Linked DNA regions of Danio rerio. The protein of the gene in region 1 purifies or fractionates together with the protein of each later gene. This does not show direct contact. Links are inferred from orthologs where the notes say so. Each region holds a gene or a part of one and is shown on either strand. Other genes may lie near its edges.

Evidence for each region.
Region 2: the proteins of sem1 (region 1) and ube3c purify together in Homo sapiens (affinity purification with western blotting; 3 studies listed by BioGRID and IntAct, with this or other methods). This does not show direct contact. The link is inferred for Danio rerio from reciprocal best matches to the Homo sapiens genes SEM1 and UBE3C.
Region 3: the proteins of sem1 (region 1) and rad23b purify together in Homo sapiens (co-immunoprecipitation; 3 studies listed by BioGRID and IntAct, with this or other methods). This does not show direct contact. The link is inferred for Danio rerio from reciprocal best matches to the Homo sapiens genes SEM1 and RAD23B.

Annotation. Positions count from the first base shown.
Region 1 is NC_133194.1:44,123,160-44,127,290, forward strand, and holds the start of sem1 (26S proteasome complex subunit SEM1), read right to left. Parts: upstream 2,844-4,131; 5' UTR 2,484-2,843; coding exon 2,408-2,483; intron 1,936-2,407; coding exon 1,842-1,935; intron 1-1,841. UniProt on the Homo sapiens protein: Component of the 26S proteasome, a multiprotein complex involved in the ATP-dependent degradation of ubiquitinated proteins.
Region 2 is NC_133182.1:40,969,275-40,972,934, forward strand, and holds part of ube3c (ubiquitin-protein ligase E3C), read right to left. Parts: coding exon 3,536-3,660; intron 3,460-3,535; coding exon 3,272-3,459; intron 1-3,271. UniProt on the Homo sapiens protein: E3 ubiquitin-protein ligase that specifically catalyzes 'Lys-29'- and 'Lys-48'-linked polyubiquitin chains.
Region 3 is NC_133196.1:588,805-592,464, reverse strand, and holds part of rad23b (UV excision repair protein RAD23 homolog B), read left to right. Parts: intron 1-45; coding exon 46-127; intron 128-1,941; coding exon 1,942-2,021; intron 2,022-2,337; coding exon 2,338-2,519; intron 2,520-3,660. UniProt on the Homo sapiens protein: Multiubiquitin chain receptor involved in modulation of proteasomal degradation. Binds to polyubiquitin chains.

The DNA.
Region 1 (4,131 bases):
AGTCAAGCTTCAGCTCAATAATCTGCAAGTAATAGCAACAATTCTGCAACAGCTCTTAAAAATGACCTGGTTTGGTTCAGTGTCTGCGAGTTTGAAACCAAAACATTCGCATATTAACAAATGCTGTTTTTCTTTTATGTTAATTCATTATTGCTTTTGAAACAGCAGATACCATTATCCCACTTGTCTGCGCTTTCCTGTTTTTGTTTTTTATCATGGGCGTTTCGCAGAGTTCAATTCTATTCAATTCTGATTGGGCAGAAAGTGTGCTCACTCAATTAGATAGTAAGAATTCACACACAGACGGCAATCTCGCATTTGCTCTGGGCGGGGGAAATGAAATAATCCAAAAATATTGTACATAACTAAATGCTAATTTCAAATAAATCGCACAGCCCTTATAACTGTTAGTTTTTATAGTGCTGGAAATCAAATGGGGAATTTGTGAGAAATGTCAACAGATTTATTGCTTATATATAGGCCCATATGAAATCTGTGCACACAGATTACCACAGATTTTTATTCCACCACTGAGTCCATTTATTTACTTGTGTAAATGTGAGTAAATTTATATTTATTTAGTTTTTTTAATCAATTTCTGTAATAATATTGACCTAATATAAAAAAATTGGTCTTTTGATTTATTCACAATACAATTTTTAAAGTAATAATTTCTGTCTTTTATTGGATATTTTATGACAGACTTGTGTTGTTTACCCAATAAATGGATCTACATATATGAATTTGCATTTTAAGCACTAAAAAAAAAAAGTTTAAAAAAATATTCTTTTTTTTATTTCATACTTTAAGTTTTGTTACAGTTTTACTAAAATCATTATGCATAAATCCACAGATTTTTAAAATAATTCTGCGCAGAAATAACAAAAAATGTCTGGCTTTATTTATAAGCATCAGGAAAGAGAAAATAATGTATTTAATTTAATGTACCGAGAAAAAAAGTTACTTTACTATAATTAGATTTTAGTAATTTTATATAGAATTTTAGTTTTTAATAAGATTTTATTTTCAATTTTCTATTTCCATTTTTAAAAAATTTAAATTCTAAAAATGTGTTTTAATCAACCTTTTAAAAACTGGTATAAATTTATTTGAATTTCTATTTGAGGTATTCTCAAAGATTAGGTTATATTTATGTTTTTATAACTGAGCTCTTTTTATTTTATTTGATATAAAGTTTTTTTTTTGTATTTACAACATTACTTTTTTTTTAACAAATATCCCCATTTAATTTTTATTATTTAGATTCCAGCTTATGTTTTTCCTTATAGTACATACAAAATTTAGTACAAAACTTTTTACATTAGCAACAAACTGATATACCAAAGGTTTATTTATTTATTTTTTACAGATTTTCGAGTGACATTTTTTTATATATAGTTAAATGTTTAATTATAATAACCTTGATAGGAAGCATAAACTATATAACATAGCAACTTACTCTTATATTTTATACTTTTAAACATCTATGTAAGCATATTAAATGCCTGTATGTACTTGGGCCAAGTCCTCACAGATAGTAAAGTTTGTGAATGTGGTTTGAGGCCACCATGAATGTCGGTTAGCCATTGGACTATTAGTTCCCTTAGGGAGGGTTTTCTTCTAAATTAGTTTAACCACACCAAATTCTTTAGACAAAATGTGGGCTTGACAGAAAGTTAATATGCTAGCAGATTATAAGAGACACTAGAACACCATAATGTTTACCAGGAATTGCATACTGTGAAGTTAGATTAAACTAGTATACTCCTTATTTAGTGCAACAATAAAGCATGCCCCGTATTTCATATACATAATTTATACATTGATAATGCATCTCCTACCTCAGCTGATTAGAAAAGTCATCCTCTACGTTGTCGTCATCCCAGTTATCTTCCCAAACATGAGCATCCTCATCTTCATCCAGGCCCGTCCAGTCTGAGAATGAGACAACAGCTCAGTTCAATAAGATGATTAACACGGGCTTCAATGTTGACTTAATGTTAATGCACAAATAAGAGTCACAGAACAGACTGTACAGAGCATTAAACATACATACGTTTAACAAAAGCAGTCATTGACTTCAAATTGAGCAAATGACAAGTGTACACAATGTATAACATTAGCTTCAGAGATGCTAAAATGCTAACTACTAAAACGTTTTTTTTCCACGGCTGTGGACTAACTTAGAACACGCTCAGATGTATTATTTAAAAACGTATAAACAATTTATAATTATTAGATTCCTTTAAAAAACACGATATGTTAACAATTTGCTGTATAAAGAATGTTTTGTCAGTTAGCATGCTACGTTAGCTGTGCTAGCTGAGTCACTGTCCTGTCGTGGATGTTTATTATCTCTAAAACGAGCAAAAAAAAGCTAATTTCTGTTCATTTTCAGTTCACTTACCCTCTGCTGGGAATTCCTCAAATTCATCATCCTCCTCCAAAAGCCCCAAATCCACTGTTTGCTTCTTTTCTGACATGTTGTGTTTCTGTGAACAGCGTGGACACTCGACGTTATGAACTGAGAGAAATGTTCTGGTGCGCATGCGCAAAACCGTGCTACCGATTGCGCCAAGCTTTTTAACATGCACAAGGGCTTCACTGCCTTTTTATAAGCCAAGCAGTTTGAAGTGTTTATATAAAAAGCTTTATATAATAGATATCGCCGAATGAGCCATATGGTTTATAGTAGTCTTCTAATATTATCAACGTGCTTGCAGTATTACAATTATAGATTAAATGTAGGCTACTTTGAAAGTAATCACTGGTGTATTAAAAAAAACAGCGGAACGAACCGCCAACTGATTCAGCACATGCTTTACGCAGCGGATGCGCTTACAGCTGCAACCCATCACTGGGAAACACTTATACACTCCCATTCACACACATGTACTACCGCCAATTTAGCTTATGATGGCTTGCAGCTGCAAGGGGATCCGCTGCGTAAAACATATGCTGGATAAGTTGGTGATTCATTCCGCTGTGGCGACCTCTGATTAATAAAGGAACTAAGAATATGAATGAATGAATGAAATACGCAATAAATATAATATAATATAATCCATATTATAACAATTTAAATATTTGATTTAAAAATTAAGCCTATTATTATTATTATTATTATTATTATATTTTATTATTATTTTCACGTTGTATGGAAAAATATTATAAATATTATTTATATTTATATGTTTTCAATAAATAGATTAATCATAATTGATGTGTTCACATTTTAATTATATGTTTATCAGATTTCATTTTTAAATATTATATCGGATATTATAATAATGTATCCTTTTTGCAAGAAATAGTTAAAAGATTTACCCTTTTTTTTCCAGGAACCACACTGTGAAACCCAACAGTCAACTTGATCACACAAAATGAGTGTAGTTGACTCAAAATTTACTGAAAGTTAGTTCTACTCATTTGAAAAGAGTTTTGAACTCAATGTTTAAACCCATAGTAACTTGAAACTGCACTTGACTTAATTTTTATAATTATGCAAATTGTACTTACTTTTTAAAAATAAAAGTAAACTAATCACTTTTTCCCATTTATTGTATTTAGTTTTTTTCCCCCCAACTTTTCTGTATCTACAGGACAATGACAGTTTCATAAATCTGCTCTTCCAGACTCCAGTGGGTTTTATTACCTTAATACAGGCTATAAGTGTAATTTATAGACTTAATGAAGCATCAAATATGTATTACTGTGATAATTACAGTAATTATTTAAAAACAGACGTGCTAAATTAGTCTGATACTGTAAAAAGGGATTAGTTGACTTTAAAAATTAAGTACAATTAGCATGAATATAAAAATTAAGTCAACTTTACAGTTCCAAGTTACAATGAGTTTACTTACATTATTTTTGTAAAGTCAACTTGTTGCTTTTAAGGCAGTTAGTGTACTCGCTTTAAGTAACTAATCACTTTTTACAGTGAAAACGTATTGGGTTTTACAGTACTCAGTTGGTTTGAGTTCTTTTCATTTATTGGAGTTTACTGTGCTCAAATTGGTTCATTTACTCAAATAGATTAAGTTCACAGCACTCATTAGGATTAGTTTTTGAACTTAAATGTTTTGTTCCTATCGGTTTCCTCAAATGGTTTGAGTTACCTTAACTTAT
Region 2 (3,660 bases), on another chromosome or scaffold:
AACTGGATTATGTAATTTATACATAGGCATACACTAATACTTGCTCTGAGATTGTTATATTTATGTTTTATTTATGCTTTGTCATTTATTTTAAAAGTTTTGAAATTGCTATAGTAATGGAGTTGAACTAAACATCAACTAAAACTTTCATTTTTTATTAGAAAATGCAAAATGTCAGCTTTTAAGAACTGCATTAGCTAACAGGGATTTGGACATACTGTGATAAATCAATTTGTAAATCTTTTAAATAAAAGTTGTTGTTTTTTTTTAAATAAAAAAATTGGAAGAAAAAAATGACCTAGAACTAGATGGCCTTAGGGGATTTTTTTAAGAATTGATTTCAATACATAATGCAGAAATCGTAGATCTCTAATACTGAGAACACATCATAAGCTCGCTGTGAGCACTTATTCTGCAGGATTAAAGGCACTACATGTGTGGAATCTTCAAAATAGTTCTGATTTAGCTGATTGGCACTGCCTTTTAATGCACAGTGCCTTTATCAATATCCTTTCCTCATTAAACCAGACAAACTTCTCTTCCCTGTCTTCTTACATCCATCTCTTCTCTCCATCACTCAGTTTACTCAAACTGAAATCCTGGTCTCATTTTGTCAACATTGCAGGATCAGAAGTACGTAGAGGAGAAAGGATTGTAGAGGAGAGCACATTACACTAATTGATGACTGACAGCAACTAAAACTGCCCTGGCAATTAAAAGAAAAGAAAAAAAGATTAGATTTAATTGTCTGTGTCTTCAGAATTGTTACTGCTTTTAGGTTTTAAAAACTAGCAGTAGGAAGGATCAAAAAAGTAACACAGCCTGCTCAAATGCTTTAAGGGTCACGAAACACCAAAACGCATGTTTTGAGCTGTTGACAGTCGTATATGTGTCCCACACTGCTAAAAACACTATTAGGACACCTATATTTCACTAAAAAGTGTAAATTGGTTGTTTTTGCGTTATTTCAAGCAAATTCGTACTTCCGGTTTGAAACGAATTTTTAAAGCTGTGTCAAGGGTCATGACATAATAGCGTTGTATTCCAGCGTGCAGACTGGGCGTCTGTGCCAGAGTGAGTCTTATTACGTCTTACAGTGTGTTGCATAAATGCATGAGTAAAGCTTGGTTAAACCAATCAGCGCGCTCTATTGTGCAACTTTATTAATATTCATTAGTGTCACCGTATTTACACGACAGAGACGCCACGTTGTGTTGGCAAAACAAGCGTGAAGTGTTGCTTTTATAGTTTGCTGCCGTTAAGTTTTGTTTTCATTTTCTCTCTGTGAGAGCTCAGAGTCACGTGTGGATTAACAGTCTACGCGACGCTCGACAACAATAACTTACGTGTCTAAGGAGGATTATTGTTTACCTGAGAGCTGTTCTCATCTGCAAACGCTGAGATCCGGATTCGCTTATAGTCTTCTCTTAATAAAGACACGGCTCTAGCTGCTGTTGATTGTCCTGTCTCTACAGATTTGGTAAGTGAGCAACCAGTGCTCTGTTTATTCAGTTTGTTCGTATTGAACTAAGTTAACTATTGCACCGAGTGTAAACATGTTAATACCACAACCAAACTTTAATCTCGTGTAGGGTTTTTACCGCATTTAGTGACCGGAATAACACACACGGCTTTCTGACGCTACCTGCCGTGTGCATCTAAGTTTCCGGGAAATGCTGAGGGTTTTTTTCTCTCATTCGCCGTGCGGTATCAAACATTGCATGAAAAATACACGCTTAGAGCAGTTCCTCGAATCAAATATCTCGTTTGTCGCGAGGGGCATGAATGAATTCCCTGAATGAAAGAGCCAAACAGCAGTTAAAGTCCAACATTTAATAATTTGGCAAATAATTCGACTACAGATGTCCATGTAGGTTAAACACCATCACTTTCTCCTGTGTGTTGATTTTGACTCTGAAACTCACGCGTGCCTAAATAGACACTCCCACACCATCCCACTTTAGTTCCTCCGACACTCCCCCCTAAACAGAGCTGGACACGCCCACTTTTCTGACTTTTTCCAAAGTAGAGGTGTGAAAACACCCTGCTGAAACGAGGGGGTTTCATGGCCCTTTAAGGACAGTTTAATGTATTTCCATTTAATGGACATCTACAGCTCTTTCAAGACTTAAGAAAAAAACCTATCTTGCAACAAAAAGGTTTTCTCTGTGCACTGAATCAAAGTCTAAATGTTAAGCCCATAGGTTAGGGTTAGTGATTAACTAAAATGAAATTGCAAACACAGTTTAGAAAGATGCAAGTTATTAAAGATGTAATGCAATGGAAAATCAGCATCAAAACCCCCTAAAAAAAATTCTAGATGTACTTGGCCAAAAACTGTAACTACTTGGTAATAATTATTTATTATTTAATAAAAAAAATTAATGTTGTCAGATTTTTTAGAATTTAACTTAAACAATACTGATTTTATTTTTTTATTTAAGACAATAGTCACATTTTATTGACATTAGTCACTTTACCAGCTTTGCCATGACAACACACTATTGCATGCAGGAGGAACAAGTACACTATGTAAAAATGTCCTGACAGCAATTTACTTGAGCAGACTTTGCTTTTCCAGGTAAGCTTGTGTGTTACATGCATAGAAATATTAACTGGTACATGAGCAGAATATTCACAGAGCGGAAAATTTTGCTATTTCAAACTGCGACTTTGGCTGGTTTCATAGAACATATCATTCCACATCCAGTGTGAAATCTGCACAGCACATCTAAGCCTTTATTTTGACTAAGACTTTATTTTTGATATTTTTCTCTATATCTTTTTCTGCTGCTAATTTTCATTGCCTGAAATTTCAGTGCATCCCTAATTTTCATGCACATCTTGTCAGGAAAGCACGGTTGAGTGATCAATAGCCCACACTCTCCACCAATGGAAAAGAAATCCAGGTAATTTCCATCTGTTGAGCATTTTAACACAGTGTTTAAGAACTTCCTCAACAGGGCGTAAAAAGAAAAAAAATCATTATTCATTGGTGCTGAAGTCAATACTTTTGACAACCCTAACAATAACAGCTGTAACTATGACAGAACTATTATTGCAATGTCATATTCAATTAAATTGTTTTTGCGTAGCTTGTCAGTGAACTACAACTCCGTGTAGTAAAATCTCCTCCATCTGACACCTCATGCTGGAGGCTTACTAGAACTGGCTTTACCAACAAAATAAAAATTGCCTTTGATTCATCGCCCTCAATGTGATGATGACTGTGAGGTTAATTTACTAGGTTTTAGTCTATTGTGTATCTGACCTGACTCGTGGCACCATCATACGGTGTTGCACCATCAACGTGTGACAGATGGAGGCCATCATGGTGAAGACATCTTCACTTGCCGAGTCTCTCCACACTAATGTTAACAGAGCATTAGTCTGCTGCTTGGTGTCCAACTTCTGTACACATTCCTCCGTTATGTAATGCACAGATATCCAACTGCCATCCTTTAAAAAAATGACACAATTGATCAAAATGTAAACTATGCTGTAAAGATGTGAATAAGCGAGAACGCGCATGTACCGGTGCTGCAGGATGCTGTACGGTCATTTCCTCCTCATCTTCTGAATCACTGTTGATGTCAGCTCTACTGTTACACTCTGTCACTGGCAACAAAGGCAAAAGCGTCTGTAGAGCATTCAGGTATA
Region 3 (3,660 bases), on another chromosome or scaffold:
GCTCTCTCCTGATCGGACTTTGATTTGTGTTTGTGTCATTCACAGGTAAAAGCCTTAAAGGAAAAAATCGAGAATGAAAAGGGAAAAGACGGGTTTCCAGTGGCGGGACAGAAGTTGATATACGCAGGTGAGTCCTTTTTTCACCCGTTTCCACTGAGTGGTACAGTACATGGTACGGATCACCTTTATTAGGCTTGCGTTTGTACTGCCGAAAGGGTACCAAAGGCGGGCGTACTGTATGAGCGAAAGTTTCAGTCGACGTCATTCTTGCTAGAGGGAATGTCTACAGTAAAGCTGCACGGGTCGTTCACAGATCATTTGAGAAGCACTTCTCACAAAACAGCTTTATACACATAAATACTGTATAAATGTTCATTACTAATCTTTCTATCAACATGATCTGATTATAACTGCAGATCAATGACCGTGTGCAATAGCCTACTGTAATGTCTGATTATATAAACATATAAACGCATACAGACCCTTACAGTTTCTGATATGTGACCAATTACAGAAAAGACTACACACAGCAGACATTTAGTCCTTCGTCAGCACATGTAGCCTCTGTTAGAAAGTGTTTCCGTCATTCCCAGTTCATTATAGGCTTCTCCTTTGTTTTTTCACGCTTCACTCTTGTGTTTGTCCGCTTCTGAAAGGATCAGATGTCAGAGGCTCTTCAATAATCAGGCATGTTATTGTCATCAGCTCAAGAAGTTTGTTATTTTAAATAAAGACGTGCGGTGAGCACAAGCAGAAAGTGAAACCGCTCAGGATATGGTCAGCCTTGTAAACAACTATGGGGCACAGGGTAGTTCTGCTCTTCTTCTTGGTTTTGTGGCTGTACATCAAGATGACGACAGTTTGTTTGAGCTCGGCTCGACCATGGCTTGTTGTATATATTATTATGGTGTAATGTCTCAGCTGTGTTTTTGAAAATAGCAATTCCTTTGTTTTCATTCTTCTGACTCTTTGCATGAGTGAGTGACGTATCTCTGTTAACCTTCCGAAAGGGTACCCAAAAAGTGGTAGGGTATGGTTACCAGTGTAAAACGCCATAAAAGCGTACTGAACCAAACCACTCAGTGAAAATGGGCCATTTTTTTCCAGTGTTAGATTGGACGGATGTGGCCTGCTGTTACAGGGGATTTCCCCATAGTCTGCATTTGTTGTTTAGTTCTTATACCTCATTGTATTGGAAAAATCAGACATTGTGATATTTTGGTTTTTAGCAATTCTATATTATAATATGGGTGTGTAAATATAAGAACGATATAACTATAACATTTCACCTGATAGCTCTATTTGGAAAGAAGTCATTAATTTAGATTGATTGGGATGATTTTGCATGCATGTGCATCTGCAAAATATAATGACGTTAAAAGCATATATAAATGCAATATAGCACAGATGATCTTTTGAAGTCAAACAGAACAGTAATTCAATAATTAAATCTAAAATGATACTTTATAGTCTTTATTGTGTGATTAAATCATCGTTAAAGCCACAAACGTTATAATTTCTTGTGCCTAAATGGTTTAAACTAACTTGGAAGTCTTGACATGGGTCTTAAAACACATCTGAGATGAACAACTTTCATTCTGTTGGGGTTAAAGATTGCAGTGAACTGTGTTGCTGGTTATTATAATCCCAATTTAACATTGCAGATCCTGTAGTGTGATCCTTGCAGATTCACACAATGCCATATCAATGCTGAAGCGATATATTGTTTAGCCCTAATGTTGTGTCTTATTCTTTAAATCTGCTTGCTTGTATAACTACTTTAATTTACCATTGCATATAAAACATGCCAAATAAATAAACTTGCCTTGCTCATAATGCCGTGATGTATAATAAGTGTTAATGCAGGGCTGGAGTTTGACAGATGATTGACAGGTTGAGAGTTGATGAGTCATGTGCTGTTTACTTGAATTATTGTTGCAGGTAAAATCCTGAGCGATGACACGGCGCTCAAGGAGTACAAGATAGACGAGAAGAACTTCGTGGTGGTTATGGTCACAAAGGTGAGGCTTTATCAGTGTGTGATTGTGCAGAGGTATTTACGATGCGTTTGGGTAATGACATTTCAAATGTTAAAGAGGAATTCATAAAACATACACAAGTATAATGTAATGGAGTAATACATGTTATTGTTTAGAGATTGAAGCGGTGTATAAAGGGGAACTCTTGTGCACTGATGACTTTTATAAGGGGATTAAACAGTTGTGTGTTTGTTTATTATGCATGAGTGATGCACTTACATAGAAACAAAAGCACCCAGCCCTAGTTTGTAATGCTGAGTGAATACTGAGAATGTGATGTGTTATTGTGTGTGTGCAGCCTAAGTCAGCGTCTGCGCCGGCTCCTCCCTCCTCCTCCTCCTCTTCTTCCTCCAGCACTACAGCATCAGCGTCTGCGGCTCCGTCTGCAGCTCCAGTATCTGAGAGTCCGTCTGAAGAAGAGAAGAAACCCAGCGAGGAGAAACCCAGCAGTGACCCAGCACCCGCCACCACACCTGTCAGGTAGACACACACACCCAGCAGTGACCCAGCACTCGCCACTACATCTGTCAGGTACACACACACACACACACACACACACACACACAGCAGTGACCCAGCACCTGCCACCACACCTGTCAGGTAGACACACACACACCCAGCATTGACCCAGCACCCGCGACTACACCTGTCAGGTAGACACACACACACACACCCAGCAGTGACCCAGCACCCGTCACTACACCTGTCAGGTACACACACACCCAGCAGTGACCCAGCACCCGCCACTACACCTGTCAGGTAGACACACACACACACACACACACACACACACACCCAGCAGTGACCCAGCACCCGTCACTACACCTGTCAGGTACACACACACCCAGCAGTGACCCAGCACCCGCCACTACACCTGTCAGGTAGACACACACACACACACCCAGCAGTGACCCAGCACCCGTCACTACACCTGTCAGGTACACACACACCCAGCAGTGACCCAGCACCCGCCACTACACCTGTCAGGTAGACACACACACACACACACACACACACACACACCCAGCAGTGACCCAGCACCCGTCACTACACCTGTCAGGTACACACACACCCAGCAGTGACCCAGCACCCGCCACTACACCTGTCAGGTAGACACACACACACACACACACACACACCCAGCAGTGACCCAGCACCCGTCACTACACCTGTCAGGTACACACACACCCAGCAGTGACCCAGCACCCGCCACTACACCTGTCAGGTAGACACACACACACACACACACACACACACACACACACACACCCAGCAGTGACCCAGCACCCGCCACTACACCTGTCAGGTAGACACACACACACACACCCAGCAGTGACCCAGCACCCGCCACTACACCTGTCAGGTAGACACACACACACACACACACACACCCAGCAGTGACCCAGCACCTGCCACTACACCTGTCAGGTAGACACACACACACACACACACCCAGCAGTGACCCAGCACCCGCCACTACACCTGTCAGGTAGACGCACACACACACACACCCCCAGCAGTGACCCAGCACCTGCCACTACACCTGTCAGGTAGACACACACACACACACACACCCCCAGCAGTGACCCAGCACCTGCCACTACACCTGTCAGGTAGACGC